Linked DNA regions of Tamandua tetradactyla. The protein of the gene in region 1 purifies or fractionates together with the protein of each later gene. This does not show direct contact. Links are inferred from orthologs where the notes say so. Each region holds a gene or a part of one and is shown in the gene's direction. Other genes may lie near its edges.

Region 1 (16,167 bases):
ATAATTGGGTGGGGGGAGGACAAAAGTCAAGGGGAGATTTGGATTTTCTATTTGGTGAGGATCTGTTTATTAGCTATTTTTCTGATTGGAGAAATGAAAGTTGTCTAAAATTTAGTGCTGATGATTGTACAACTAAGTGAGGATAATGAGAGACATGGATTGTGACCGTGGACATTATACATGATGCTCAATGGAAGGAGGTGGCTGAAGGATACAGTGAATGAAAAGTAGTATGGCAAACTGTGATGTATACATGTGATGGAATATTGTGTGGCTATAGAAAGGAACAAAGTCATGAGGTGTGCAATGAGGTGAATGAACCTTGGGGACATTATGTGGTGCAAAATAAGTCAGAAACAAAAAATAAATATTGTAATATCTCTTATAAAATACTTATGAGAAAATTGGGGTCTAGATTGTTAGCTCTTATAGCACTCACATTTAGTTCAGAGTTATAAATGTTATTTCTAGATTTCAAGATGCTGTGCTATATATGTATAACCTGGTATCTCCCTGGAACCTTGGCTACCTGTATGACACCTAAGACTCAGAGTTGGAGTTCTGCGGCCCTGAAAGTCAGCATTGCTATATACAACAACCGAAAGTCAGCATTGCTACATACAACAACTGAAAAAGAGATCAACCTTCAATTAGAGATAAGAATAAAGCCGATCTGGTTGGGACTATCGTAAATCAGCATACAGGGTAAAAGGATGATATCGTCTGTATCTTAGAACTTCACCTACTGTACGAAACCAAAGGAAGAGAGGCTTATTTTGTCCAAAACCTAAATTTTCTGTAGCACACAAGCTAACTTAACCTGTCTGGCCAGTTCAGTTAAACAACCAAAACACAAGGAGCCTAAAATTAGGAATGAGGTCTTGCAATTCTTATAGCTTAATGTAATACTCAGATACATTCCAGAGTATGTTGAGCAGATAATTTAAAAGCATTAACACACTCCGTTGAAGGATGGAACTGTCTCAAACAGTAAGGACTCCCAACTCAATGGGCCAAGCCCTTGATCTTGAGGCTTGTTCTTGTGAAGCCTATTTCTGTAGCAGAGAAGCTAAATCTACCTGTAGTTATGCCTTGGAGTTCCTTCTGGAAAACCTCTTTTGTTGTTCAGATGTGGCCTCTCTAAGCCCAACTCTGCAAGTAAAATCATTACCTGTCCTCTTATGTGGGGCATGACATCCAGGGGTGAAAGTCTCCCTGGCAATGAGCAATGTGACTCTTGGGGATGGGCCTGGCCCTGGCACTGGCACTGTAAGATCAACAATGCCTTCCTGACCAAAAGGGGAAAAAGAAATGTAACAAAATGAGGTTATCAGTAGCTAAGAGAGTTCAAATGGAGTCAAGAGGCTAATCTGGAGGTTACTCTTAACGCTAGCTTCAGCTAGATATTGCTAGTTACCACGGTTTGCAAAACCCTAACCAAAACCATTCCTGTCAACCCCAAAGAACACCTAGGGCTTTATCTGAAATTTATTTAACCTACACAAATTTCACATACTAAGATTTACTTTCCAGAAACCTACAACCTTCAGATGGGTTCCTAAGCCAGATAAGCCCTGAAATCCAGAGGGGATAGCCTCTCCAAGAACATCAACTAATTCCATCGCCTTATCCCATATTATTGACACCCTTTCCAACAAGAAAAAGTTAAAGTGGGCATAGCATAAGATTGGGAGAAGGATCAAAGGAGACGGAGGAGTTAGAGAAGACAAGATTTAAAAAATGGGTATAACTAGTGAATCATTATATTGATAATTCTTCTAGTCTTCAGTGTCTTGGAGCAGCCTGAAGGAAAAACTTGAAATTTTGGAACTGTAAGCCATAACAAATTCTGACATCTGTTCTAAAAAACTATTTGTTACAATGCACTTTGGAATTTATTGCTTTTTTTGTATATATGTTATATTTCACAATGAAAATGTTAAAAAAAAAAAAAAAAAAAGAAGCAGGGACATACAAAAACAAAAGGTGGAGAGAAAGGGAGAGAAAGCACTTTGATAACTTTTCTGCCACCCTTAATTTGATTCAATTGTGTTTGAAATAAATGCTATTCTGGGATGTCCAAGTAAACTGAGTCCAATAGTTTCCCTTTTTGTCTTAAAGTAAATTTAATTGGGTTCTGTCACTTGCAACTGAAAGAGTGTGAATAATACAAATATTCTCTGCATCCTTCTATAAACCTTTAGAGATTTTACAGTAAAACCTGTCTTGCTGGAGAAAATGGACTGAAATAAAACATAAATTCAAAATAGTTTTGCATTTATGATGATGCTAACCAAAGGCATTACAACAAACCAAAACAAACACCAAATGTTTTAACTCTTTCTCTGTACAGGGGGGATAAAAAAGAAGGAAGCATTCAAATTAAATTCTTTAGTCTTGGCACCAGTGTTTGCTTGGTAGAAGCCATTTACATTGACTAGTGTTGTTAAAGTGTGGTCTGGGGACTACCTGTATCAGAATTACCCAAGCGCTTATTAAAAATGCAGATCCCCAGGCCTTGCCTTTTTTTTTAATTTAATTTTTTTTTAATTGACAAGCCAAAACAACATAGAAACATGAACATTCTTAACATACAAACATTCCATTCACGGTGTACAAATGGCTCACATATCATCACATAGTAGTATATTTGTCACCATGATCATCTTTTAGAACATTTGTATCACTCCAGAAAAAGAAAAACCTCATACATACCATACCCCTTACCCCTCCCTCCCATTGACCACTAGTATTTCCATCTACCCAATATATTTTAACCTTTGTCCCCCCTATTTTTTTCCTATACCACTCACCATTCCTTTTCATTGATCGCTAGTATTTCAATCTACTCAATGTGTTTTAGCATTAGTTCCCCTTATTATTTATTTATTTTTAACCCATATTTTTAACTCATCTGTCCATACTGTAGATAAAAGGAGCATCAGACACAAGGTTTTCACAACCAGTCGCGTTGCGTAAGCTGTATCATTATACAATCACCTTCAAGAAATATGGCTACTGGAGCACAGATCTACAGTTTCAGGCACTTCCCTCTAGGCTCTCTAATACACCTTAAACTAAAAAGGGGATCTCTATATAATGCATGAGAATAACCTACTTTATAACCTCTCAACTCTATTCGAAATCTCTCAACTACTGACACTTTATTTTGTCTCATTTCTCTCTTTCCCCTTTCAGTCAAGAAGGTTTTCTCAATCCCTTGAGGCCTGAGTCCCAGCTCATTCTAGGATTTCTGTCCCATGTTGCCAGGGAGGTTTACACCCCTGAGAATCATGTCGCACGTACCGAGGGGGAGGACAGTGAGTCTGCCTGCCATGTTGGTTGAGAGAAAGATAGGCCACATCTGAGCAACGAAAGAGGTTCTCTGGGGGTGACTCTTAGACCTAATTTTAAGTAGGCTCAGCCTATCCTTTGTGGGGATAAGTCTCATATGAACAAACCCCAAGACTGAGGGCTCGTAGGCCTTACCTTTTCAACTACAAACTTTTGGAAAGGATCCCAGGTAAGTGTAATTTTAACAAGTTCCTAGCTGTTAGGATTCTTATGCATACAGTAAAGTTTGGTTATCACTAGTGGGGAACTTTAAAGCATATTTAAAAACTATCAGAAAATACTAGATACTATAGTTTCCTTGATTGATAAATACACATGCACGTGCAAACAAGTACAAACATAACGGTATCTTCAACCTGTATGCCATTTCAGCATAAACTAAACATATTCTTAAGTTCTACATACTATTTAAAGCATGTAGCTAAATAATAGATGCTTTCATTGTTCTAATGAAGCACTGCTGAATTTTAAAGGAGTTAAATGGCCATGTAATGCTAAATGTTGATTAGATACACTGATTATGAATGTGGTGTCAGTGACCAATTTCATAAAACTCTAGAATCATATTAATTTACAATATTACCATTAGGCTGTACTGTTCAGAAACAAACATTTTGCTGTAGGTATCAGCAACTACATTGGACAGATGAGAAAACTGAGGCTCTGAGAGGTTAACTTACTTACCCACAGTCACAAATTACATCTCGCCTAAAAATGGAAGGAACTGTTTGCTAAGACTAGGAAACTTACTTGGTTAGCTGAAAAGGCTGCATTGTTACCCAGAGTGACCAAAGCTTTTTCAATAATTACTGGATCCTCAGTTGACTCAAGCAGGTAAAGAAGTTTCTGAAGTTGTTCAGCATTTAAGACATCATCACATGAACCATCTGTTAAGTCTTCTGTATAAAAAGAAAGTTATTTGAAGATCATCTAAAAGCAATGAGATTTCTGATTTTAAAAACAACATCAGACACATACTCTGATGCACTATTCAAGCACTTTACATGCTATCTTATTTAATCCTTAAATGACCCTAGGAAGAAAACACCATTATTCATCTTAAGGATGGGAAACTAAGACTTATAAATGTTAAGAAACGAATCAATGGCCACTTGGTATTTCTCTGTTAGCAAGATGATGACATGCAGATAACATACACCCAATGGGCAAGTGTCCCATTGGATGAGCGCACCTGACTTTAAAAGAAGAAACAGAAGAAATTAAGGAACAGGATTTGCATTAAACAGATCTTTTCTGTTCATAATTTTAAAAGGACCTCAGACAACAGAAAAAGCTAAGGGAGGTAGCCCAATTATGTGGCTTGTGTGGAGTATTTGCATGGCTGTCCGAACAAGGGATGCTAAAATGACAGTCCTGCTATTGGTGATGACACAGGTCATCAATCTGCGTAAAGGCTAATGTAGTCGAATGTAGGGTCTGCTTAGAAACAAAACAAAAACTCTTTACAGAAATCACTACAGGAAAAAACCAAAGCAATTTTTATAACATTATTCTTGTGTTACAAGCTTAGAAAGAGATTCCTTAGAAATGAAACTATAAGAGTAAAGGTCAAACTATGCATGTTTCCACAATACACTGCCACGTATGGGGTCTGGGGACTTGGGAAGCAAAGCCATACAACACGAGGTGCTGAAAGATTCTCATCTGTGCTTGTTCTTTTAAAAGTACCTACCAGGGCAGGCAACGGTGGCTCAGTGGCAGAGTTGTTGCCTGCCATGCCAGAAACCTGGGTTTGATTCCCGGTGCCTACCCCTGGGGGAAAAAAAATTACATACCAAACTGGTAAAGATGGTTATTTTTGGAGACTGAGATTATGACTGACTTTTCATTTTCTATCCTGTGCTTATGAGTACTTTCTCATTTTTTGTTTTTATTTTACAAAAAATATATATTATACCTGTCATTAAAATAATTAAGTGTATTGGTTAAAGAGTAATCAGAAAAAAAATATGAGGGGATGGGGCAAACTAAGATTACAGGGACACAATAAGTGATATGATGTCCTGAGGTAGCCAAATCAGTAATTCTATTAGGAAAATCTAAAAGCTAAAAAGCCTGTAGGACTCCTGAACTTGGTTTTTACTTCTGAATCTATTACATATCTTATATACATCTTATAAAATAGAGTTTCACTCAAAGAATACAAAAAAAGATAAATGAAAGAAAGACAAATTTTTTGGAATGGAAAGAATTTGAGAATTCACCCTACCTACTCATTTTACTCATGGGGAAACTGGAGCCAATATCACTTAAGGATTTGCCTACAGTCACATAGGTAGTTAGTAGCAGACACCAGAGAAATGAAAATTCAAAATTGTAGGCAAGTCACTTAACCTCTCTGACTCTGTTTTCTCATCTGTAAAATAAACGGGATGGTCTCTAAGACTATAACTGGTTTCTGAGGCTCCTATATAGCTCTGAAGTTGTGTGATTTTATAGACACATGCATGTGCACACATGGTAGAAATATCAATTTAACTCATTCAAATTCTTCTTTTAAGTAATTATGTATTAATGTTTATTTTTAAATCCTATTACTTCCTTGTAATCCCCCTTTTTTTAGTTTAATAGTTAAACTATTTATAAACAGCCATATATACATAGGCTAAAGTGGCAAAATCACAGAATTTCCACTGGGAGGAGAACAATCAGCCAGAACTATGGAGCCAGACTATGTACTTCAAATTCCAGTTAAGCTACTACACTGAAAAACTTAAATTCTCCAAGCCTACTTCCTCATCTACTAGATGAAAACTAATGCTGCTTCAAAGCATTTTTGTGCCTAGAACACCATGAGTGCTTGGTATATTTTAGATATCATTATTAATAGGATAGGCAGCTGGTTAATAAAACTGGCTCTAGAAACCAGAACTTTCTATTTCTAGTCTATTACTTGCCCCCAACCCCATGCCTCTTAAACTGTTAAAATAAGCATCTATTTTAATTTTTAAGAAACCTCAACTGATATGCTGCCTGAATTAATTAAAAATGCATTATTTTTTCAGTAAGGAAAATAAATATGCGTAAAACCAAAAACTTGAGAGGATGGCTATTACTCTATATCTAGGTATTTTATTAGCGAGTTTTTGAACCGCTATTATATAGTTTAGGTAGTCAAACATTTGTATGCCCTACTTCTCCATCTAGTTTTGTATCAATAAGATTATGAAAGAATCTGAGGCTCAGGGGTTCACCACCTCCTGAACTGAAATGATGCATATATACCTTTTTAGTATGACATTATGTTGTTTTTTTTTAATGCAATAAAGTATGTTAATATATATCCCAATATGAACCTTCCTTTCCTATCTTTTCGGCCATGGTACATTGTTATTTTAATCCTCTAATGGATTTGATTTGCTAATATTTTTAGATTTTGTATCTTCATTCATAATTGAGACAAATTCATAGTTTCTTCATGTTACCCTTGTCAGGTTTTAGATTCAGATTGTTGAATGAACTGGGACTGTTTCCATCTTTTTCAGTGCCCTGAAATAGTATTAACAGTATAGAAGTTACATATTTCTTAAGGTTTAAGACAAAGAAAATCTCATCCTCTGAAACTGAAGGGTGATGCTGACAAAGCAGGCATTTTCAAGTTTCTTCAAAAATAAAGGTAGCTTCAGGAGGAAGGAATTGGACTACAACTTTGAGAAAGACACTGTTAGCAACTTATTTTGAAAACTGCTTGACCTCAAATAATGGTGATTTGAGGGATTAGTAAAATTAGGTTTAAAAGGAAGACTTTATTAGTGTTCATCATGTTGGTTTTACATGAGAAGGTATGCAGGTCCAAGCCACCTGCCCAATTACCTATACAAAAATACCTCCAACAGAGACAAAGTCAACAAATTAGGCTTTGTAAGAGTAAATATAAATCTAAAAAATAATTGTCTTTTTTCTAGTGTCTAAAGGGAGACCTTCTCCTTTCCCTTTCTTGAGCATTTCCCTTGAGAAAATTAGTAACAGCAAATCTTCTCTGCCCCTTTGAAATTTATGTAAATCTTTTTAAAAGCTAAATAAACTTCTAGGCAATTTTATAAACCAGGAATGTCTTTCTTAAAGGCTTTGGGTCCATGTCTCTAGAAATGTAAAAGTCAAGAAGACAGAGCCCCAATCTCACTAGTGGTCACTGTGGTTGTTTAGCTCTATGCTAGCCTAGCTCCAAGTTGTAACTACAGAACCTGCTTGTCAGAAAGAAATTTATTTTTCCTTTGGATTAAAGCAATTAGCTAACAGAGAGGGCCACTCAAAGAACCAGGTGAATTTAGGATGAACCATCTATAGTAAATAGAGCTATCAAGTTCTCTTACTTGAGACCAAGTTATTATTTATCTTAAGAACATCTATGTAATGGATTTTATCTGTCTGGCTACATAAAAGGGAGAGATTTCTTTCTGCCCATGCAAAAAATAAAAATAAAAAAGGAGAGATTTCTTTGTTTTAGCAACCTCATTAGCGATTTCCTGTGATGCACACTGTAGTCTGGTTTAATGCTCAAAAATGTATCTGTTTTCTTCTTTTCTACATTTGTGGAGATTTTCTGGGACGGCAGGTTTTATTTTTAGTTATTTTCTTAACGACTTCCACAACTTGAGAGAAATATCTTGAGAACACTCAGCAAACCGTTAGATTCCTGAATACAAGTACCAGTTTGGACCTTAGAAACTTGATCTTTGCACTTGTCTGCCAGGAGAGTGTGCCTCAAGCAGGCAACGGTTACAATTTGCAACATCTATCTTTCCTTTCAAAGTAATAAATTGGCATTTAGGTTTATAAAATTGTATCTCCTGACCAAACCAGAGCCTGTCCACTTAATGAACCATTCAAAATGTGTTTGAGCTAAACGGATCCTTAAGAGTCTGATCAATGTTATAAAAACTGACTTTCTGGCCTAAAAAGGTACGAGTGAGATCTGGGACCACCGTGGCTAAAAGTTCCTCCTCTCACAAAGGCCCTGCCCAGCGCAGGCAGAACTGCCACTCTCGGGGTCCCTACTTCCAGGGCAGCTGTATGCACAATTTCATCTACGTCTCCAGTCCCCGCAACACTGTCCACAGTCCGGGGAAACCCTTTGGCAACACAAAGACCCGGAGCCAGTTGGGAAGTGACAGACAATCAACACGCTTTCCAGAAATTGATTCTCCCGCAGACTTCAGACACACTAAGGGAGGGAAGTTAAACAAATGTTTTATGCTAGGATTCTGAACAAATAAGTGGGGGCAGGAGAGGGAGTCAGAAACCAGCCCCCACGCAAATTAAGCGCACGATCCAACCTCCCCCTGGATTTTCCAGCCTTGCCCTCCTCTCAAGCCTCCCTCCTTCCTCCGGCTCCTTATTTTACTCCGAGAACTGGGAAGCCACGAGCGCCTCCGGCGTCTGCTGCCCCCCACCCCGGCCCGGCCCGGGGCAACCCCGGAGCCCGCTCTCCGGCCAGGCGCCCGGCGGCCTCACCTGCTGACCGCGAGGGGCGCAACCGCCGCCCACGGTCGCCTCGCCGCTGGCCCCGCATCAGCCTGTAAATGCAGTAGCAGGCGCCGGCGCCAAGAACCAGGCCCGCCGCCACCCAGCCCACATCCCGGGCGCGGCCCATGCTGCCGCCGGGACCTGGGCGCAGGGCCGAACCCGCGCAGGAAGCTCGTGGTGGCCGGGGCCGGGACTGAGGTGCGGGTGGGCTGCAGGGGCCTCCGCGGCACACGGGCTCAGTTGCCCGACAGATACGGAATCGAAGAGAAAGGAAATGAGAGCCTGAGCTCCGCCTCCCGGAAATGGCCCAGCTCAAATCGTAAAACCTCCCCCTGGCGCCCCACGGCGGTCCTGCGAATTCTTCGCAGGCAGGGCTGGAGAGCGTGAATGGGCGCCTGGGTTCCGTGCAAGACAGCATTGACTGCGCGCCAGAGAGCACGCCCGAGGGATCGCCGCCGCGGCCCTGAGGCGGGCTCCCTTGGGGCTACTCCCCTGCGCATCTCGCCCCGCGCGGGTACCTCCTCCCAGACTGTCGCTCTGGACCCCGAGGGTGGGGGGAGGGCTGGAGATTCCGCCCAGTTCCAGCACAGCGGTTGCCAAGGCAACGTGCCGAAGCGCCAACCCCTTGTTCCAGCTCCGAGCCAACCGCGCGCAGCGTGGAGAGCCGGCGGGGAGCTCAGCTTCTCGGTCCAGCCTCTGGGCATGTCCTCGCTACGCGCTGCCAACCCCTGGCTGAGGAGCTACTTCAAGGAGAACTATGTTCCTCAGGTCTGCGAGGTACTGGAGCTGTTTGGCGGCCGCCGCGGAGTGACCATAGGAGGGAGATAGGGAGGATTCGGGGTAGCCGGAGCTAGGGTAGAAGCGGAACGGGAGAGGGTGAGGTGAGCTTTGGTCAGGTCGCTGTCTAGACTGAAGATGAAGACAGAGCGGCGATGATGATTGAAGGGAGAAGTGGGTGACGTCCTCCAGGGAAAAAGAGTACAGGGTCCAGGACAGAAACCCCAGACTTCAGCTTTTAAGGTTTGGACAAGAGGAGCAGGCAGGAGTTACTGAGGAAGAAGTGCCGGAGAGTGAGGAGGAAAATCGGAAGAGTGTGTAGGAAGTGTTTTAAGAGGGAGAGAGAGTAACTGTCGCCTAAGATAAGGACTTGAAGGGTTCCCGTGGATTCGACCTAAAAGAGTCTTGAGAGAGCGGTTTCAGTGGGGCGGTGAGGGCAGAAAGACAGATGGAGTTTATCTGAGGAGAGAGTGGAAGCGGAGACGCTTACATAAAATTTATCTAGCCTTTTGTGGAGGGGAGGACCGCACAGCGAAATTGACTTCAGGCAGGAGTTAAGGAGTATTTCTCTCCCCCACTATAACAGAGGACAATATAGGGGTGTTTCAGTGAGTTTTGTCGACTATGGGTAGGAAGTTCACAAAGTTCTCCCCAGTGGCTTTTTTCTTTCTTTCTTTTTTTAATGTACAAATACTCGGTGAGATATTTGCTAAGGACTTATATGTTTGTTTGAGGGGGTGCAGTGGGAGGTTTGAGCAGAGAAAAATGAGAAATGAGGGAGAGAGATTTAGGGAAGGAAAGAGAACTGATCCGCACCAGCTTAGGAAGGTAACTCATATACAGTTGAAAAGGCCAATTTGGTATAGCCTCCATCCTTTTTGGATGGCTCTTTAGAAATATTTATTAAAATGTTAAATGTATATACCATTTGACCAAACACTTCTATTTCTAGGGAGCTACTTTAGCGAAATATTTCCACATGTGCTCAGAAAGAGGCCTCTACCACCATATTCATTGTAACATTGTCACATAGTGAAAAGCAGTAAATATGTTCAAATTAGGAAATATGTAGAATGCAGAATATATGCATACCTATTGGAAAAAAAACCTCCACAAATATTATAAATAAAAAAATACATAAAAAGGCAAGTTGCCCAATAAATTGTCTGTTATGATTCTACATATTTGTCTGTATTAGTTTGCTGGGATTGCCATAACAAATTGCCACCAACTAGGTGGCTTAAAATAACAAATATTTATCCCCTCACAGTTCTGAAGGCTAGAAATCACAAAACAATGTATCAGCAGGTCCATGCCCCCTCTGAAGGCTCTGGGGAAGAATTCTTCTTTGCCTCTTACTAGCTTCTTGTGGCCCACAGCAATCCTTACCATTTGTTGGCTGGCAGCTGCATTCCTTCAATCTCTGCCTCTGCCCTTACATGTTTATGTCTCTCTGGGTCCTCTCCTCTTCTTATAAGAGTCATTGCACCTAGGACCCATTGTAATCCAGTATGACTTCAACTTAATTGCATCTGCAAAGACCCTCATTCCAAATAAGGTCACATTTTGAGGTTCCTGGTGGACATGAATTTTTTTGGGGGGGATGGGGGCACTGTCAACATAACACACTATCCATATTCATATTTGTGTGTACTTACGTGTGTATGTATGTGTGACTATCTACATTTAAGTCAATTTTCATGCATAGAAATAATATATGCAAAGAAATATGCCAAACTGTAAACAGTAGATGTCTTCAGGGGCAATTTTAGGAGAGGAGATGAAGGAGAACTCTAACTTTTTACTCTACTTGCATCTGTTTTGTTTTAATTTTTTATAATGAGTTTCAATCATGTTTTACCCCTATACAATTATATTTGAAAATATATAGAGAGTGTTGGTACCTGTAGTCCCAGTTGTGTGATTCTCTCAGGTAGCACTCACTAAACTAGATGTAAGTACAGAAATAACAGTTGTTATATACATACATATACAATAGAAGGCAATGGGTAATGTTGTAGAAGCTATTGAGAATGCTGAAAGTGATGGGCCGAGGACTCTGGGGACTGAGTAGGAAATGAGAACAAGAAGGAAATGATACTGATGTATGAGTAGAATTGGAGGTTCCTAGGAGGTGAGTGAAGAGGAATAGAGGGAGTAATGAGTGAGGGAGCTGGAAAAATAGAAAGTTGGAGTCAGAAAGTAGAATGTGTGTATTTAAGTTTCAGATTAGAGCCATGTGTACGTAAGTTTCAGATTAGAGCCATTCTGAGTGATGACCCAGTCCAGGGTATGGCTGTGGAGCAGGTAGAAGAAATGGACTTGAATTGAAGGTCGGGGTACTGCAGAGAAGAGACAGCTTCCCCTCACCTACTTCTCCAGTTGCCATAACACCCAAGCTGCAAAGAGGCAGTCTGTAGTTCCTCCTGTGGGTGAGAGTACTCTTCCTCTACCAGACTACCACATTGCTCTGCCATCAGAAAGCAGAGGCGCCATAAGTGTTTCCTGTTGCCGAAGCTGTTGTTCTCCTAAAAAGCCTTTCACTCACCTCTGGCTATCATTGTTACTAACAGGTGTGTATTAGTTAGGGTTCTCTAGAGAAACAGAATCAACAGAGAACACTTGCAAATATAAAATCTATAAAAGTGTCTCCCGTGACCTTGGGAATGCAGAGTCCAAAATCTGCAAGGGCAGGCTGTGAAGCTGGCGATTCCGATAGAGGGTCTGGACGAACTCCACAGGAAAGGTTCACCAGCTGAGACGGGAAGAGCCTGTCTCTTCCGAATCCTCCTTAAAAAGGCTTCTAGTGATCAGATTAAGCATTACTCATTTCAGAAGATACTCCCCTTTGGCTGATTACAAATGGCATCAGCTATGGATGTAGCTGACATGATCATGATTTAATTCTATGAAATGTCCTCATCGCAACAGACAGGCCAGCACTTGCCCAACCAGACAAACAGGTACCACCACTTGGCCAAGTTGATACATGAGCCTAACCATGACAAGGTGCAAGAAAGCAGACTGCTGGGTCTCCACCCACCTTAAAGTGGTTAATTACCTCCCTAAGAGACTATCAGGATGAATCCAATTGTTCCTCATATAACCATACATCTCTTAATCCAACTCAATTTCCCAGGCTTCATGATCTTCTAAAACCCATCTTCTGCAAGCCTTGGAATACATAATTTTTCATTACACACTTCCCCCTCGTGTAGTTAACCTCTCTCACTTCCTTATCCTAAATAATACCTGGCTCTCTACTTACCAAATCATTCCCCTACAAATATCTTGTATAGAAGGTGATTTTATTTTATTTTACATCCTGCATGGTTCATTGGACTCATTGAATCTGTTGATTAATACCTTTTATCAGTTTTAGAACATTCTTGACCATTTTCAAATATTGCTTCTATCTAAGTTTCACTCTCCTTTCCCTCTTGGACTCCAAGCATAAATATTTTAGATTTTTTACTTTGTCTTACATGACTCTTTTGCTTTGTTCTGTTCCCATCCCCATCCCTTTGTTTCCCTTCTGTGCTTAAATTGGGATATTTTCCAATGACCATCTTCAAATGTACTAATCATGTTTTATGCTGTGTTCAGTCTACAGTTTAGCACATTAAATGAATTCTTAATTGCAGACAGTATGTTTTTCAGTTCTAGAATGCCCACTTGACTGTTTTTATATACATCCCACTTATTGAAACTCTGCATCTTTTCTTCCATTTGTTTATCTTTCCCTCTGTTTTCTTTAACAATTAAATTGTTATTTTAAAGTCCATGTCTGCTAACTTGAATATCTGGATCATCTGTGGGAGTACATATTATTATTTGTTTTCTTCTCTTGATTATTCATCCCATTTTCCTGCCTCTTTACATATCTAGTGTTTTCGTTTTTTTAAAAAAATTTTGCTGGGCATTGTATAAAAGCAAATAGTAGAGGCTCCAGGTGATAAAATCTCTCACCGGATAAGGTTCTCTTTTTCCTCTATATATGATGAGAGGTGATGACTTCAGTTCTGTCTGGTTGGAGTTGGATTGCAATTTTATTTAGTCTTAGTCCACATCTGGTTTATCCCTGTTTCTTGAGGATAGCTCTTCTGGGCTTCTAATGGAGAAGCTAGCAGGTGTCTGTTTTCTTACCCTTAGAAATTGCAGAACATTCAGTTTTGGCCTTTAGAGGTTTTTGTGCTTAGCTCTTTGGCTTCCTAGCTTTAAAATCTGACAGCGTATTAAAGGTTAGGCTAGCTGTGTGTTTGAAGCAGGTATCCTCCCCATGAGCACCATGAGATCATGAGATACTTCACTTTGCTTCTTAGAAGCCCTTGCTCTAGCTCCCCAGCTTCCTTCATGAGCAGTCTCATAATTTGGCAAATGTCTGATGGGGAAATTGGCTGCAGTGGGACACCTCAAGTTATAATCTGTTACACAAGCCTTATGTGGCTACCAAAAGCCTTGATGTTTTCTCTAGTTTCTCTTCCCTCTTGCAGAGTCCTTCAGCCTGGGCCAAACCCATTCCTCAACCCATACCCAGAATCAGCAATTGGCCCCAGGGGAGAAACAACTTTCATCATCAACTCACTTCAAAAGGCTCTCCTCCCTTTTAAATTCCATAGCTTTGGATATCTTTTAAAAATGTTTTCATAATGTATCTGGTGTCTTCTAGTTGTTTCAACAGAATCATTGGACCATAGTGACTTTCCATATCCTACTCAGAAGTAAAATCCTATTGAGACTTTTTTTTTCCTTCTCACTTCTCAGTTTACCTCAGATCCAGAGATGGGGTAGGTGTCCTCCTTGCTCTCCATTACCACTTCAAACTATGTGTCTTTCCTCCTCCTCCTAAAACCTCAGGTCCCTTAAGGTTTTTAAGATTAGCCTTACCATTTACTGTGTTGGTTTGAAAGGATTATGTACCCTAGAAAAGCCATGTTTTAACCCTGATCCAATCTTGTGGGAGCATTGTTTCTTTTAATCCCTATTCATCACAGTGTGCTGCAAACTTGATTAGGTTATCTCTACAGAGATGTGACTCACCCAATTGTGGGTATTAATCTTGGATTAGAGGGAGATGTGACTCCACCCAATCCAGGTGGGTTTTGATTAGTTTACTGGAAACCTTTAAAAGAGGAAGCATTTTGGAGAATGCTTCAGAATGACGAGATAGACACGAGAACCAGGAGAGCCCGCCCAGCCAGAAACCTTTGGAGACAAAGAAGGAGAACCACCCCCTACCCACCCCCCCCAGGGGAGCTTCATAAAACAAGAAGCCTGGGGGGAAAGCTATTGGACGTCTCCTGGTTCACCATGTGTCTTTCCAGTTGAGAGAGAAACCCTGAACTTCATCAGCCTTCTTGAACCAAGGTATCTTATCTTTCCCTGATGCCTTAGATTGGACATTTTTATAGCCTTGCTTTAATTGTTTTAAGTTTTATGGGCTTAGAACTATCAACTTGCCACTTATTAAATTCCCCCTTTTAAGAAGCTGTTCTTTTTCTGGCATATCGCATTCTGGCAGCTTGCAAACTAGAACATTCACTCTCTTTTTATTAACTACCTACTTCTTGTTTGCTCTTTGTGTTTCATTGATAACTCTAGTGTCTGGCTCACCACCTTCCTTCTCACTTCTATTCCTATCATCATTTTTGGTGACTTTAACATCCAGAAGGATGTTTCATCTACATACTTGACTTTTTTCCTAATTATCTTTGCATTCCCTGCTCCTATTATCATACCCTTGATGATTTTATCCCAGATTTCTGTACCATCTCTGAAATCTCTGTTTCTTATCTCACTCTCCTACCATCTCAGCTCATTTACTCTAGAACTCCCATTTTATTACTTCTTCAAGCTCTTTGCCACTACCAACTCATTAGTTTAATCATTTTTGTACTACCAATTATGCTTCTCATGTCCTCACTTCTCTCTTTACCCATCTTTGATTCCTTGGTTTATCACTGTTTAGGGTTCTATTGCTACATAATGGATTACTACAAAACTTAATGGCTTAAACCAATGTTAATCATTTTATTATTATTTCTCACAGTTATGGGAGTTGACAGGAGGTTTTTGATCAATTGTGCATCATACAATGGCTGGGGTGAAAGTCATCTAAAAGACTTCCTCATTCACATGTTTGGCAACTGCTGGCTATTGACTAGGACCTTAGTGGGGCTTTTTTTTCCATGTATAACCTCTCCACATAACATGGACTTCCTCACAGCATGAATGCTGGGTTCCAAGAATGAGTGTCCAAGAGATAGAGCCAGGTAAACATCACATTTTATAACCTATCACATTTTATAACCTCACCTCAGAAGTCACTGAACATTACTTCCTCTGCATTATGTTCATTAGAAGTGAGTCACTAAATCCAGTCCATATTCAAGGAGAAGGGAATTACACTCCATCTCTTGTTGAGAACAATGTTAAAAATATGGGAACCTTAATAAGATTGAGAGCTGTTCTGTCGTTGGAAACCAAAGCAGTGGGATGATATAAAATACTGAAAGCAAAAGAAACTGCCAACCAAGAATTCTATATCTG
Region 2 (15,886 bases), on another chromosome or scaffold:
GACGACAGGTTAGTTTCTCCCTTTTCCTTGATTCACTACCTGCAGATACTACTCAGGGCCCCTCTAAGGCTGCAAGGCAAAGTCTTCCTTGATTGATAAAGTCGTTATCCGGTATTGGCGTCCTCTGACTACAGCAGATTTTAAATGCTAACTTTTCTCTCCTAGGGTGATTTGAAGAGTTCTTTAGAGAACCTGGGATCACTGGGGTCCTCCTCCCACAACTCCTTTGACATGGACACTGCCTTCATGGGCTGGCTGTTCCCCTCAGCCACTAGTTAAGGTCCCCTAGACTCTTTTCGGCTGTCTTCTCCAGTGGTGCCCCCCCCCCCCCAAAAAAGGACCCAGTCTTGCTCGGCTTCTGAGGGTCTAGCATCTGGGCTCTAGAGACATGCATGCATCCTTGCCTACCAAAGTCTGCGAGTGCTCTGCTGGAGCTGGCCAGCCCCAGGCTCTCCCCTTCAATCTCCCTGAAGACTGAAGCAGGGAAAAGTCACAGTAGATTCCTTTGACACATCTCTCTAAAAGAAGTGTTCACTAAGGATCTCTTCAACCTCCTAATGACAGCGTTGCCTTCTTTTAAATTTGAAGGTGAGAATGGGCTATTGCATGCCAAACAGGTTTCCCAGGGCTCAGCACATCCCTCTGCATGGGCTGGCCAGCGTTTTCCTTTAGGATGTGGGAATTGTTCAAGTCTATTATATCATGGAACATCTCCCCAAGCAGAAAGAGGTCTCTTTTGATATCTTTTTACACTGAAGCATTTATATCAACAATTGCTATTTCCAGAAAAAAAGAAAAAAAAATTCTTTACAAAGTACAAGGGGGTCAGGGAGGAGGGAGACAAAGTTTTATCTGCCATTCTTGTTTGAAATAACTGGTAATTCCTAGCCTTGTGCTTGTCTTGCACACATAACCTCCACAAGTAATCTCCTACCCAGGGTTCTGAGTGCATCCTTCCCTGGCTTTTCTAACCCTGGTCTGGGACAAGCAGCCAAAAGCCTTTACAGAAAATCTTGCCAAACACAGCTACACCTTTCCCTACCTTAGGAAATGTAACTTAGTGAGTGTAATTGAGCTTAAAAAAAAATTCTGGGAATTTTTTTTAAGAATAAGAAAGCAAGCCATCTAGACAAACTAATTTAATTGTAACGTAATTTTGAGAGAAGAGAATGGTCTAGGCCACTGGGCTTTTTTGACCCTGTATTGCTTTATCCTAAGCAGTGGAAACCTATTTTCAGAGATTTTATGTAGAACATGTATTTAAATTAAGAGATAAGTTACCTTTTTAATTTCAGTTGTTTAAATTTATAACTTTTACTTCCTATAAAGTTAATCAGTGAGAAAGAGGAAAGGTTATTTTGAAGAATGCAAAACTGGAAACTGGATGATACTGGCAGTTTGATATAACCCTTAAATTCTTGATTTTCTTTTTTGTTGCCAAGTATCAATAAAATCTCAATGTACACATATAAGGCAGATGGCTCTGCTTATTTGTTGAATACCAGAAACTCACATTCACCTTCAATTACACAGAGACCCCAAAGGAGGCTCTACTCTGAGCTTTATATAAAAAATAGGGTGATGTGGAGGCCTGTTTATTATTATTTGATGTAAACACATTTTAACATGATGTGAGTACATTTCTGAAATGGTTAAAATTCACTACAAATCAAAATAAACCTTTGTAGATCTATGTGAAGTACCAACATGGGGTCTGGACCCAACAACTCTTTGAAATCCCTTCTGAGACTTGGAGGCTAGGCCTTAGGACGCTTTGCAACTGCGGCTGATGCCCTCTGGGAATGCTTCTGCGGTCATACCAGGAAGCCCAGACTAGTCTATTGGAGACTGAAGCCACATGGAGGCGACCCAAGGCACCCAGCTGACAGCCACCGGTTACTGCTAGTGACATGAGTGAAGCCACCTTGGAACACATACTCCCAGAAGATTCCCAGATATTGCAGCCGCGTGAATGAAGTGCAGAGCCAGCCGAGGGCAGCCTGAACTGCAGAATCATGAGCAAATCGATATTGTTTTAAGGCACTAGGTTTTGATGTTGTCTGTTACACAGCAATAGGTAACTGATACATCCAAAAGATGTATTGCTTATACAAAAAATACTACATTGATTGAAAATATATATACTAAATACAATTAAAAAAAGTTTATTAATTAAAAAAATAAAGAAACAAAATAAAACAACATACATAATCAGTAATTCACAATGTCATCACTTAGTTGCATATTTATCATTTCTTAAAATGATTACTGTAATTAATCATTGCAATTACAGTACAGATTAATTACAATGACAAGATGTAATTGTCATTACATCTTGAATAACAAGATGATATCTACTTGATGCATAAGAATAACCTCCAGTATAACCTCTCGGCTCTGTTCGGAATCTCTCAGCCATTGACACTTTGTCTCATTTCCCTCTTCTCCCTTTTGGTCGAGAAGGTTTTCTCAATCCCTTGATGCTGAGTCTCCGTTCATTCCAAGATGTCCCACGTTGCCAGGAAGGTCCACACCCCTGGGAGTCATGTCCCACATAGAGAGGGGTAGGGTGGTGAGACTGCTCGTTGTGTTGGCTGGAGAGAGGGGCCACATCTGAGCAACAAAAGAGGCTCTCTTGGGGGTGACTCTTAGGCCTAAATTTTAAGTAGACTTGACCTATTCTTTGCGGGGTTAAATTTCATATAAACACACCCCAAGACTGGGGGCTCTGCCTATAGCTTTGGTTGTCCACACTGTTTGTGAGAATATCAAGAATTCAACTTGGGGAAGCTGAATTTCTCCCTGTTCTCACCACTCCCCGAAGGGGGCTTTGCAGATACTTTTCCACTTACTGATCGAATCACTTTGGGATTCATCGGGGCATCACTCTGGACAAACCAGCAAAATCTCATGTCCTACCTGAGATTCCAAGTACTTACGGCGTTCAATCAAACTATCTACATAAGTTATATTAGGAAATGCACTAGTCAAAATATAAATTTTTTAACTAATAAACATTTTTTGCTGTAGTCTCACACAGAAGGTGACATTTTAAAATTAAATACAATTTTTAACGACAAGTTAAATATCCCTAGCACGTGGGTTTGTGTTTGCCCTTCCCCTTCCCTGATTTTGGTTAACATCCTCTGTGTTATTACTTACTTTTGGAATGTCTTCTGACAAATGCGTCTGTTCCACCTGGTCGCCTATTTGTTCACCAATTTCTTGGTCCATTTCTGCTCAAAATATGGTCCTGTGTGTGCTCAGCTGTGCTCCTCCTGATACTCAGAAACAGACATTTATATTGTATAAATCAATCAAAACATCATTTAGCTGTTAATATTTGGTGTGTATGCTGTCCCCCCTCTGAGTTTTCACAAATGGCTGAGTTACTGCGACAGCGTTTGGTGAACACTGTGACAGGATGCTTGCCTCGGGAAGGAGCACAGCTGGACCTGTTACACACCAAACACACATGTGGCCTAGGAACAGAATCAGAAGCTGGCTCAACAACCTCACTTGTCAATTAAAACCAAAACAACAACTTTTGTATCATGGCTCTTTTCCCATTGAACGCTCAGAATTTCCATTACTCTCTGTTTGTACTGATTGGTAGGACTGTGGCAGAGCAGTGGGAAAAAGCAGTGACCTGGGGAGCCCAAGGGCCTGAGTTCCAGTCTTGGCTCTATCATGAACTGTGCAAATCGGCTCAAATCACTTATCTTTGCTATCATTCAGTTTCCCTATCAATAACCCGTGTGCCCATGATGCTGGGGCATGGGATGAGATGGTGTTGTCCTGGCTGTTTAAGCTAAAGCCACCCTGGCTAGGCCAAGTATGGTGGGGACCAACGGGCTCACATCTGGGGATGAGGCCTGGCCACGCCTTTACAAAGGCCCTTAGGATTTGCTTCTCCCTTCAGGCATCCACTGTACTGAGCTGCAAGTGGGGAGCAGGAGTTTGACTTTTGGCTGTGTTGTGTCTTGTCCTGCATTTATACTTTCTTAGTAGTGGCCAATTTGCTTAGTCACAGGTTCCTGAAGGTTTGCCTACCCCAACCCTTCTTGGAACAAATGGGCAAGATCATGAATCCTGTAGGAACCGATTTATAGTTACATGAAGTGTCAAAAGCCAATGTGCCTTGAAATGGATGTCAGGACCCTCAAAGTCTAATGGAGCCATTTGGGGGAACATATTTCTGAAATCACAAGGGAAACCCTCAGGAAAATCTATCTCAAAACTTCACCTGTTATGGGCCTTTTTAGAATGTTTATAATGAATAAACAGTCCCCTGTAGGTGTCTGCCCACCCTATTCCTCTCTTTGGGCGAAGCAGATCCAGCCCAGGTGATGGGCTTCATTTGAGGTTAAAGTACATCAGGACCAAAGCAGCTCTGGGGCAGGGATCTGGGCCCTTGCACCAAAATCCTACAGACTGAATCTGCCATGAGTTTGGGGTCTGTCTTGCTCACAGCAATACCTCTGGTGGGAAGCCCAGCGCCTGGCACAGAGTGGGCACGTGCATGTTGGTTGGGTGAATCCATTGTGCACACACACCCACAGAGATACCCTTTCCCACTGTTCTTCACCATATGCGTGTGCGCACACATGCACACGCACGCACGCACACACACACACACACACACACTCACTCCCATCTGAGATGTAGGAGCTTCATGGAGTGAGGGGTACACAGGTCAGCTTTTTTTCCTGGTAGTACTATAGTCATAATTACCCACTGGCAGCTTCTTACTCCATTTCCCCAGATCCACAGGGAAATGAGAGGGTAGATGACATCTTGGGGGCCAGGAGAGTTCCCATATTTGGCCTCTGATCCACCAAGAGACTCTGCTGGCAGGGAGTCACCGCACAACCGTGACAAGTGGTGCCTGGGCAGCTACAGTCCTGTGCCCACTGGACCACAGGATCCCATGACACATCTAATCACGCGCAACAAGCCCACCCTCTGGGGAGTGCTGGGTCTGGAAGCCTCTACTCATGCTCATCGTCTACAAAAGACAGAAAGAAACTCACACCTCTCTTCTCAATGTAGTCAGTTCACCTGGTGAGTCTGGCTGCCTGGGATAAAATCCCAGCCCTCCTATTCCCAGCTGGAAGCATCCGAGGAGAGCCTGTGCTTTCCCATCTGTAAAACGAATGGCTCAGAGGGTCACCATGAGGACTACATACAGTTGAAAGAGAAGATGCCTGCAAAGCCCTTGGCACGGTGCCTTATATCAGGTAACACCCTATTCAAGGCAGCTAATTACCCTCCTACCCCCATTTCCTCTGCTTTCCCATGCTGCCCTCCTCTCTATTACCATGACATATAAGCTATGGCAGGTAGGGACTGTCCAGCTGCCCTGACCCAGTTTTTGAGGCAATGGCTAAAAACCACTGCTCTCCCTTCGCTAAGTCCATGCCCTGACCACTTCCCTTATGGGGCCTGAGTGCTCCTGGGCCATGCCACAACCATCTATCACAGGCCCCCAAAGCCAAGCACCTAGGGATGGTCGCTTCTTTCTGGAGTCTGCAGAATTGTTCAAACTACCCAGTCCACAGGGAGCCTGTGAACCTGAGCTAGCCCCACCTGCAGTTCCAGCTTGTGTTACCCTCTCCTGTGGGGGAACCCCATGTGGCCCATCTGGAACTGTAAGAAAGACTTCTTTTCTGCCTTTCATCCGCCAAGTGTCTTCGTGCTTCTTTCCACCATCTGAAACACCTATCACCCTATCATCACCCCAGTATCACAGAATTACAGAACACCCGCCCATGAGCACACCCTGCAGCACTTACACATTGGACAGACCGTGGGGCACATTTACAGGGAAGTGAAGTAGGTGGGCAGCCAAGTCCTCCCAGAGGCTCATTTCTGGCTGTCTAGCCAGAGACTAGCTAGTGAAGAGACAACAAAGGCTTGGTGTTCAGAGTATGTGCATGTTATTAAGTGATGGCAGAGATATGAAAAAGGAGTAAGACACATTAAGATGCATAAGCAGAGTGTGGTAGAGAGGAGTATTTCCCCTCTTACCTCAATCAAGGAAGAGCAGTACTGTCTCTAAAATATTTTCCTCTGTTCTTTCTTCCTTAATAAAAATTAAGGCTGGAGATTAGATTTCTTCACCCATGCAGCCTTAGGCTTTGCCTGAAAAGCAGGAAAAGAAATGGAGCAATAGAGAGCTTGTTTGGCATAAGTAAAGGATGACCCCAATGGAGGGGGGCGGGGGGAGAATGGCTCATTCACTTCAAATCTCTGGGCACACTTAGGGTGAGAATGCTGTCAGCATAGGGGGCCTCTTCTGTCAGCCTGACTCCAAGGTTAACACACCTTGCACTAGCCCACATGTTTCAGAAGAATTAGGTGAGAAAGAGGAAGTGAGAAGCAGAGTCTCAGTTTAGGAAAGCAGCAAGAATTACATTCTGAGGTTCAATGCAGAGCCCACCTGAACGAGGGGCTCCTCCCAAGTAGAGAGGACCCTCGGCGGGGGCTGAGGGCAAGGGCCCCAGCTGGCAGCACACACTGCCAATGGCACTGCATGGGGCTCAAGAGAAGCACCAAGAGAAACGAAAGCAGACATCCACATAACGATGCGGCCTCTGATGGTCACAACAGCCAAAAAGTGGAAGGACCCAAGTGTCATCAGTGGATGAACGCAATGAGCCACGAGGCTTGAGGCCTCTGATGAGTTGAACTTAACCACTCCCCTAATCCAGTGCTCTTTGGGGACTTACTTTCCCCAATCAGAGCTAGTTTTGATGTTCGTGCTAACCTGGTTATAGATCATGTGGGATCTGAGTGGGGAAGGTCTCCAGTGGGACTTGCCTCCCTCCTTAAGCTGGGTCTGGATACTCCAATCCCTAGACAGTTCTCAGCAAAGCTCTTACTTGACTCACAGAACTTACAAATTTGAAAAGAATCTGTCTCTGTTTTGAGACCACGTAGGCTTTATTTGGGTTTTGTTTTTATAACAGGCTGGTTTGCTAAGAACTGCTGGAGCACTGTTTTGAGCAGCACAGATCTGCGGGGGATATCATCTTTCTTTTTTGTCACCTCTAGGGAGTGAGGAGGGGACCTGGCTATCTTAGTTTGCTAGAGCGGCTTTAACAAAGTACCATAGAATTGTTGCTTTAAACAACAGAAATTTATCGTCTCATGATTCTGGAGGCCAGAGGTCCCAAATCAAGGTATCAGCAGGGAAGAATCTATTCCATCTTCTGCCTGGCTTGGAATAGGTGGCAGCCACCGGGAAACCAATCAGCATGCTGCAAGCTTTAGTGCACCCTGCTAGTTACCTCCGCCTGGAATACCACCCCTCTCATCCTCCCGGGCCCAGCTCAACTGCCACCTCTGTGAAATCTCCTCCCCGTCCCCAAGAAAGGTTAGTTGTTTCCTCAGCGCCTGGCGATGCTCCCATCAGAACACCTAGCTCACTGTCCTCTACTTTTCAAACCTACTCATCCCACTAGGCAGTGAGCCCCTTGAGGCCCAGCAGGTGCAGCATCTGCGCCACCTCCCGTGTGCTCAGGGCCAGCAGAGAGCCTGGAATAGAGCACGCAGGCAAGTGAACATCTGCTGAAATGTGTGGCTGGTCTACGAGGCTTCATCTGTAAAACTTCTTGCCTATCTCAAAGCGGCTATGAGGCTCAAACAAGCCCGGGGGGTAAAAGGGCTGCAAACTGAAAAATGCGGTTGTTGGTATGTGGACTGTGACCAGTGCCAAGCAGAACCTGCAAGACACAGAGCCTCCCCTCAGGGGCTCCCTGCCTATGGCAGGAGACAGACTTAGCAGGGGAATGAGTCAAACAGAGGGGGCTGGGTGTCCTGAAAGCCAGGCCACCGGCAGGGCTGGGAGGGATGAGGCAATGGCATAGAACCAATGTGTTCTGGTAACCGTGACAAACTGCATCATGGTGCGTGATGAGGCTGGGACCATGCAGGGGCTAAGGGGAAACCCTGTGGGGAGAAGGGGAGCCCCTGAGGGACATAAGTAGGAGTGAGTGCTTTGATCAGATATGAGCTCTGAAAAGTCCACCCTGGCCACAGGGTGGAGGTCAGGCTCTAGCCAAATTTAAGGCTCAGGGCATTCCAGGTAGAGGAAACAATAATAGCAAATCAGATAGAAGAAGTGACCTTACCTGAAGATCTGCTAAATGTCAGGCCCTCGTACATGAGTGCATTATCCCACAAAGACCCAGAAAACATTCAGCTGCTGAATGAGGCTGACATTGTTGGTCTCATGCAACAGATGAGAAGCTGAGGCTGAGAAGTCAAGGGACCCGCCTGGTACACAGATGGTCGGTCACACAGCTGGCACATGGCCAACGCAAATGTATTTGTTCCTGAGAGCCCCTGAAAGCTTAAGAGCAGGGGAGGGATGTGACCAGAGCTGGTCACTGCAGAGGCTAACCTGGAAGCACGGAGTACATTAGTTAGAGGGGTGTGAGGTGGGAAGCAGGGGGGCCACCCACTAGTAATTCAAACAAGATTTGAGTATCCAATACATGGCCCCTCATCATTCCAGGCACTAGAGTGCTAGCAGTGAACAAAACAAAGATCCCTGCCCTTGTAGAGCTTACTTTCTAGCAGAGGGGCGACCGAGTAGAGTAAGTAAAAATCGACAGCAGGTCAGAAGATGAGAGATGCTCTGGGAGAGAAAAGTAGGGCAAGGTGTGGGGGCTTGAGCTCCTCAAGGTGGTCTCACTGAGAAGATGAGAACTGAGCAAAGACCTAGAAGCAAAGGAGGCTAAGCCGGCAGCCAGGACAACTGGAGCAACAGTTCTAAGGCAGGAGGGTGGCTGGCACATTTGCAGCCCAATAAGGAAGCCAGAGTCATGTCCAGTAGTCAGCCAGGGGAGAGGAGGAGAACAATTAGGGAGATGATGGAGGGGGCCATACCGAGACCTGTACACTTGTCGAAAGGCTGAGGACGGCCTGGATCAGGAGAGAAGCAGCAAAGGTGGGAAAGAGCAAAGGAACAGTATTGCAGGGGTTAGAACTGATAGAAAACCGAGGCTAGATATGGGGGAGGCGGGAGACTCACAGAGTCACGATGACCCTGGAGTTTAGAGCCTGGGCTGGCTGCTCACAGGGCAAGAGGGGAAAGGGTAGAAGGCTGGTGAACACTTCCATTTACGGAGTAACTTGGGCTCTGTCCACTGTCTCCTCAAATCACTACCTAAAATCTAGAGGGGAAGCAGGGAAGGGCTGCGAGCCACTGAGTTCTCTGACGCTGGGCTGCCTGAGGAGGGCAGGTCCCTGGACCTCCAGCCATCTCCACTTTCGCCGCCCCATTTTAGGCCAAACCCTTGCAGGGGCTCCCATGCGTTCTCTAAGCGTGCCCCGATCTTCCAACTTCTTGGTGACACTGAACAGGATGGTGCCTCGGCCTGGAATGCTCCTCTCTGTCTGCCTTGAGTGTTGGGGTGTCCCAAAAGGGACATTTTGATGATCCTCCCCATCGTGGGCTCACATCTCTTTCACTCCCTTCAAAGTCCGTTCGCAAGGCCCCAGCTCACCTCCCTGGGTCGCTTTTAGCCATGGGAACTACTGATCCTTTCTGGGGACCTGGTTTGGGGACCGACTATTTGTCTGGGTCAGGGTAGGGTACTCTCGAAGGGACACACTCAAAGAAAGATCTTCTAAGTCCCAACCGTCCGTGCGAACCTCGGAGGCGCCGCTTGGCATGTCCCTTCTCCCGCCTGGGCCTCAGTTTCCCCGGGTATCTCTGAGCCCGGCGCCCGCAAGCCCCGACCTGGGCCGTCCCGCCCAACCTCGCGTCCCCGCCCCCTACCAGGCGCCAGCCCTACCGCCCTGCCCTCCGCCGACCCGAGGCGGCCCCCGACGGCCAGGCCGGGCCCCTTACCCACCTGCGGCAGCGCCCGACCGGCCTCAGCTCGCCCGCCGCGCGCGGAAAGAAGCCCACCCCGGGCCAGCCGCCCCTTCCTCTCCTCCCGCGTGAGCCGAGAATCGGATGAGGGCTCCTCCACCAATAGGATTGGCCCGGGGGCAGGCTCAGCCAATCGGCGCTCGCGGTGTGATCTTGACCAATGAAAACCGGTGTCGGCGGCAGGCGCACCGCCCCCTGTCCTCGACCTGGGTTTTGCCGGTTTAGCCCCACCCTCCCCTCAGCGCTACGCCACTGGGGAGCGGCGGCGGCGAGCGGCCCGCCAATGGGGAGCGGGGCCGCGCGCGCGGGGCGGTGGGAAAGGCGCCTTTTCAGTGTGTACGTCGGTTGCCCTAACAACAGCTAGTGGAGTCCGTTGGCGATGGTAGGTACCAGCAGCCGGGTCCCACCCCGCGTACCGTGGCTGAGCTGTTCCCAGGCCCCGGTTGGCGACATCGCCTCTCCTGCGCGGCTTTCGCTTTGGCGCACCCTTGGTTCCCTCCGATCTGAGTACCGGAAGGGTAGGGTAGAGACGCCGGCCTCCCCGCTGGGCCTGTGGCTTTGCTCCGCTTCCTCTCTTTCACCCACAGCCGGTCCTCACCCTCCCTCGGGTTCCCCCAGGCTCACGTAGGCTCCCCTCGGCCCCCTCGGCCCCCTCGGTTACTGTTCCTAGGTAAAGACTCGAGTTCCTCGCAGGCCCCGACCCCAGCCTCTCTCAGGCCGCCCCTGTCAGACCCTGGCCTATTGACAGCCTTGCTCTACCAAAGTTTCCGCACAGCGCTGGGGGCAGCTTTATGGTCTTGTTTGTTAACACGTATTTTAAAATGTAGATATAAAGACATTTGTGAAACTCGTTGAGCTTCATGGATAAGGCACAATTGGGCCTGCTGGGTTTACTTTTTCGACTCGATACTGTGAAAATACATCTGAACAACTTAGTAACGTTAGCAAACCATAAAGTTGGAGCATTTATAGAGGAAAGCCGGTACCTCGAGTGGGCATTGTAAGGACATTTCTAGAACTAGGATCCGATCCCCCAATTCTGTGAGAGTTGATTGTCTCTACAGTGATAGAGGTACCTCTTTTGCACACTCTCTTTTGGAATGATTTTCAATAAGGAAATCCCAAAGAACAAAGGATCCTTCTGCCACTAGAAACAATAGCAAAGAAAAAGGGTTGGGGAGGATAGAGTACATGGGACTGGGAGGTGAGGCAAAGGGATAAGGAAGGCTAACTCTTCTAAGATGCCTCTGACAGTTCTCTTCAGAGTCGGTTAACACGTGTGGAGCACTTCTATGGGCTACATACAGGGTAGGAGAGCGGGACCCCACCATGTCCTTACCCACCTTAGTGAATGCATTTTTCACAGTGGTTCGGAGGGAGGTTTTAGCTCCACTTTAGTGATGAGGCTATTGAGGTTCAGAAAAGTTCCTCAATTTCCTTCTGTCCACAAAGGTAATGACTTTGACTTAAAATCCATTGTTCTTTCCAATACATCCTGCTATCTTTCCTGCTAAGCAAAGCTTTGGAGTTGGTTAGTATAAAATATTTTAAAAGTACATATGGTTGTCTGTAGCTGTCTTATGTAAAGTATGGACTGTGTAACGTCACCTTGTGCTCATGTGTTTGTGTTCTGTCAAAAGGCCTCCAGCTTTAAGAAGGCCAACATGGCATCGACTGCCCCGCGAAAAAGGATGAGTCCTAAGCCTGAGCTCACTGAAGAGCAGAAGCAGGAAATCCGGGAGGCTTTTGATCTCTTTGATGCTGATGGAACAGGGACCATAGATGTTAAAGAACTGAAGGCAAGCTCTATCCATTCCTGCAATACTGCCTTTACTTACCCCTGCCCCTTTACTTTTTCTGTGTCATCCTTTCCGTCAACTCTCTACCCCTTTGCTCCTCTTCTCCCTCTTGCTGAGAGTAATAGGGAAGGATGCCCTGTGGTCTGTCTTCCTGTCTTTACCTCCCTCAAGGATTACTAAATAAAACTGATTGCAAATATCAATGAGATCGATGTCATAGTGTCTCTCAGTCATTTTCAGATGATTGTATCAGATGCTAATTTAATGCTCTCTAAGCTGCTGGTTTTGGTCCCACGAAGTTTAAATTTGCATATTGAGAGGGCATCCTGTTTTCATTGTAGGTGGCCATGAGGGCACTGGGCTTCGAACCCAAGAAAGAAGAGATCAAGAAGATGATATGCGAAATTGATAAAGAAGGGACAGGAAAAATGAATTTCAGTGACTTTTTGACTGTGATGACTCAGAAAATGGTAAGTTAACTAAGATAATCAGACTATTTTCCACCCATCATGCTGGATAAATTTGAATCTAGATATGGAAATTACCTCATTGAAGTAAAGCAAATAAAATTTGAAGCATTTACCTGAGAGAAGATAGTATTTTAGACTGAGAATTAGGATTATGTTCTACTTGACTTTCTTTGAGGTTTCAGAGCCACTGGAGAAGGCATTTTACGCTCTGGTACAGGTAATACTGCTGTCACTTTTTGTTGCTGTTATCTTTCTGCAGCTGCTATGTCAATGCAGTAACAAAAAGCAGTAAAACCTAGAAGCACCAGCAATATTAAAATGCCTCACATATTTACAATACAAAATGCCTCCCATTATCAGATTTCTTAGTTAAAAATTATGTCCTTCCCGGAATCAAACCCTCTTTGCCTTGTTAACTGAGTTCCATATACTTTAAAGTTCAAAATTTTTTTCTCTCCAATTTTTTCATTCTGTGCATCCTCAGCCCAAGGAAGCCCACTCAGAAGCCTGCCTAGAGCTGAGATTGCGTCAGCAGCTGTGCTTTTTCACTGCAACAGGGATTTGGTTCTTGAGCACTTCCAAGGTGGCAGTCATCCAATCCCTAGTCCCTCGGGGGTCATACTCTTAAAGGGTCCCCAAGCAAGTCTTTGAGTCTATATTTCTCAAGCATTCTTGGCTTAAGCACCAAGTGGGTGCCTCTTCCTTCTGAATTCCTAGCCAGTTAGGAAATACTTGTGGGAGTTGGAAAGGGAGCAAATATCACCTTGAATTGGATAGCCTGGCTAGACTGCCTTGGCACTGAGGCCCAAATGGGCTTCTTATCACTTGTGCCAGCCGAGATTGGGGTTATGGGATTGAAAGAGAAAGGGTAGTTGGACTGTGGCAGGCTACAGGAGAGGAGTAACTGCAATATTTCCCTGCTCATACGTTTTTATGTTTTACTTGTTAAGTCTGAGAAAGATACCAAAGAAGAAATTCTGAAAGCATTCAAGCTCTTCGACGATGATGAAACTGGGAAGATATCTTTTAAGAATCTCAAACGCGTAGCCAAGGAGCTAGGCGAGAACCTCACTGATGAGGAGCTACAGGTCTGTAATGTGTCAGGCAATGTTACGCTTTCTCTTTCCAGGAAAGCCAGTGTTCTCTTGGCCCTCTGCTGACCACTTAATTTCTCCCTTGATAATCTGACAAACCTATGAACCCTCCTCCTGGGAAAATGCACACATGTGCACTTTGACTTACAATTTTGGTTTCATTGATCCCCCTAGGCAAGGGGTTCCTCCAGCTCCTCTCTTCCAGGTGATATGAATGACAAAGTATGACTTGGCTTTTGAAGAACTTTCTAGGAACCCAGCTTTTATAAACAGCAGCCCATCTCCTATGGGCAGCCTCTGCTGTCTATTCACATAGCTTTATTAAAAGTCTATCGCTTTCTTGACTTTTAGTTTAAGATTTAATCTGACCTGAATCCTTACTGTCCTGTAGGAAATGATCGACGAAGCTGATCGAGATGGAGACGGAGAAGTCAATGAGCAAGAGTTCCTGCGAATCATGAAGAAGACCAGTCTTTATTAAAACATTTCGTCTTTTCTATAGCAAGCACATGTAACTAGATTTAAGTTCTGTCATTGTCCAAAATCTCTTTAGAGAACCAACCTCTTCCCACCTACCCCTACCCACCCCCCACCCACCTCCTGCCACTGACATCCCTATGTAACTTTGGTAACAACCCCTGTTCTGTTTAGACTTTCAAAAGTGTTCTTTGATGTTCAAGTTCTTTGTAAAATGACCTGCTGATTGTTTTCAATCTCAAAAGCAGAACTAGACTACATTAAATTAGAGCAAAGGGTCATAAAACTTCTACCCACCTGCCATTTTGCCTTGCATTGCTTCACCCTTATTGTGCATTTCCACCTATGTCCAAATACAGATCATCTCCTTAGAGAAGCACTTGTTGTACCTGTGTTGCCACACGCAGCAGATACCTCTTCCATGGTTCTGTTTTTAGTTGACACCTGAGGGTTGTTTTTCCCTTTTATAAAGCCCATTGAAATCTCTCACTGGCATCTGGGTGTTTGTTCATACTATTGCTTTTGTCTCAGAAATAAAGCCTTTCTGATTCTGAGTTGCTGTTCTCTAACGATGAGTTCTTTAGCCTTGACTACAAATTTAATCCTATCAACCATTGTGTGGAAGGTGGCCTGGCAAATATAAAATATAAAATTCCTTCCCAGCTCATAGACATAGAATGAAATAATTCTTTGCTATTTTCCTGACATGAAATGTTTCTTGCCTTGGGAACCCATCTCTTTGTAAAGCTAGTAGAATATACCTAAGCCCTAAATGATGTTCTAAAAATACTTTGGCAAAGTATAAGGCTGAAAAAGAGTCTCATTGGTAATTTATGCTTAGACAAAATATGGGGAGCCCAGGCTATTATGACAGACAGTTGCATTCAGTCAACTTCTGGAGAGTTTATTTGCTTGCAGTGTCTCTTGGAATCCTGGACTCAGTTTAGACTGAAGGACTTTGACCTTGTCCACCCCCCCTCCTGACCCTTTACAGGATTACCTGCAAGATAAATCCTGGGAGGTGATATTGAGCTCCCTGTCCCAGGGTGAGGGTAAGGAGCAAGAAGGGACGGGCAATGGAAGATAAAACAACACTGACAGCATTTCCTCTGTCTTCCACAAGGGGACAGGCAGAGAACTGGGTTTTTAAACTTCTGGATTCATCCTAACCCCTGGGGGTAAGATTGCCGGATTCAGCTAATAAAAAGAGGATGCTCAGAGAAACAGTAAATAGCTTTTTCAGTGTAAATATGTCCCATTTGAACTTTCTGTTGTTTGTTATCTGACACTCAGATTTAGGATGCCCTGCATTTAAACGGACAGGCCTACCTGGGAAGCACATTGAACATATTGTAGCATGATCCTGAGGCTTCGTCCCTGGAGACTGGCGTCCCGGAGGTCTGTCCCCCGACCCCACACCAGCCCTGATAAATCCCAAGCAGAGAAACTGGCAGGAAAGCACAGTCTAGCCTGAGACCTGGGTCCTCAAACAGGCCCCAACACTTCTTGGTTGGCCGGGCAAGCTACTCTGGACACCTCAATTCCTTGTCTGGGGGAACGAGCTGTGCTTAACTCAGAATTGATGAGGGTCAGATGAAAACTTACAGCCAGGGCTTGGCTTTGGGGTGCTCGAGAAGGAGGTGTATCAGAAATAGTTCTCACTTCTTTGTTATGATTATTGTAGAAGCTCTGTTAACAAGAAACTTGTTTTTGGTGAACTGTCCCAAAAGTCTGGGTTGGCTGCAATTCCTGGGAGGATTTGACCTTTGCTGCATTGCTGTTTTCTAATAAAAGGCATATGGTCTGATGAAAGAGCTCTCAGAAACCAGGGAAAAGTCTTGGCATTACCTCCCATTTTGCTGTTAACTGTGACTGTGGACACCTCCTTTTCTCCTCCTGCTTCATGATCCCATGAATGAAATAAAGTTTCTCAGGGACCTCTGGGGCAGTGGGAGAGTAGCGAGTAACCTGCGGGTGAAAAGCCTACAGTGTTCACTCATATCCGGGCCCAGCACCCATGTTGGGATGGGTTTGCAGCTGTCCAGTGGAGGGGATGAGAGGGAGCACGGATGTGGGGGGAGCCAGGAGGATGGAGAAGGAGAAGCCTCAGAGAACAGTTGCACTCTTGAATTGCCATCTCAGTTGCCCTTCTGTCCCTTC

The links.
Region 2: the proteins of FBXL13 (region 1) and CETN2 purify together in Homo sapiens (affinity purification with mass spectrometry; 3 studies listed by BioGRID and IntAct, counting the BioPlex papers as one, with this or other methods). This does not show direct contact. The link is inferred for Tamandua tetradactyla from reciprocal best matches to the Homo sapiens genes FBXL13 and CETN2.

Annotation. Positions count from the first base shown.
Region 1 is NC_135327.1:141,333,289-141,349,455, reverse strand, and holds the start of FBXL13 (F-box and leucine-rich repeat protein 13), read left to right. Parts: upstream 1-9,452; 5' UTR 9,453-9,543; coding exon 9,544-9,618; intron 9,619-16,167. Other genes in the region: ARMC10 (armadillo repeat-containing protein 10), read right to left, coding at 4,105-4,253, 8,830-9,259. UniProt on the Homo sapiens protein: Substrate-recognition component of the SCF (SKP1-CUL1-F-box protein)-type E3 ubiquitin ligase complex.
Region 2 is NC_135353.1:4,614,581-4,630,466, reverse strand, and holds CETN2 (centrin-2), read left to right. Parts: upstream 1-10,136; 5' UTR 10,137-10,265; coding exon 10,266-10,268; intron 10,269-10,277; exon of another isoform or gene 10,278-10,404; intron 10,405-11,526; coding exon 11,527-11,685; intron 11,686-12,026; coding exon 12,027-12,155; intron 12,156-13,105; coding exon 13,106-13,243; intron 13,244-13,640; coding exon 13,641-13,730; 3' UTR 13,731-14,215; downstream 14,216-15,886. Other genes in the region: NSDHL (sterol-4-alpha-carboxylate 3-dehydrogenase, decarboxylating), read right to left, coding at 3,163-3,234. UniProt on the Homo sapiens protein: Plays a fundamental role in microtubule organizing center structure and function. Required for centriole duplication and correct spindle formation. Has a role in regulating cytokinesis and genome stability via cooperation with CALM1 and CCP110.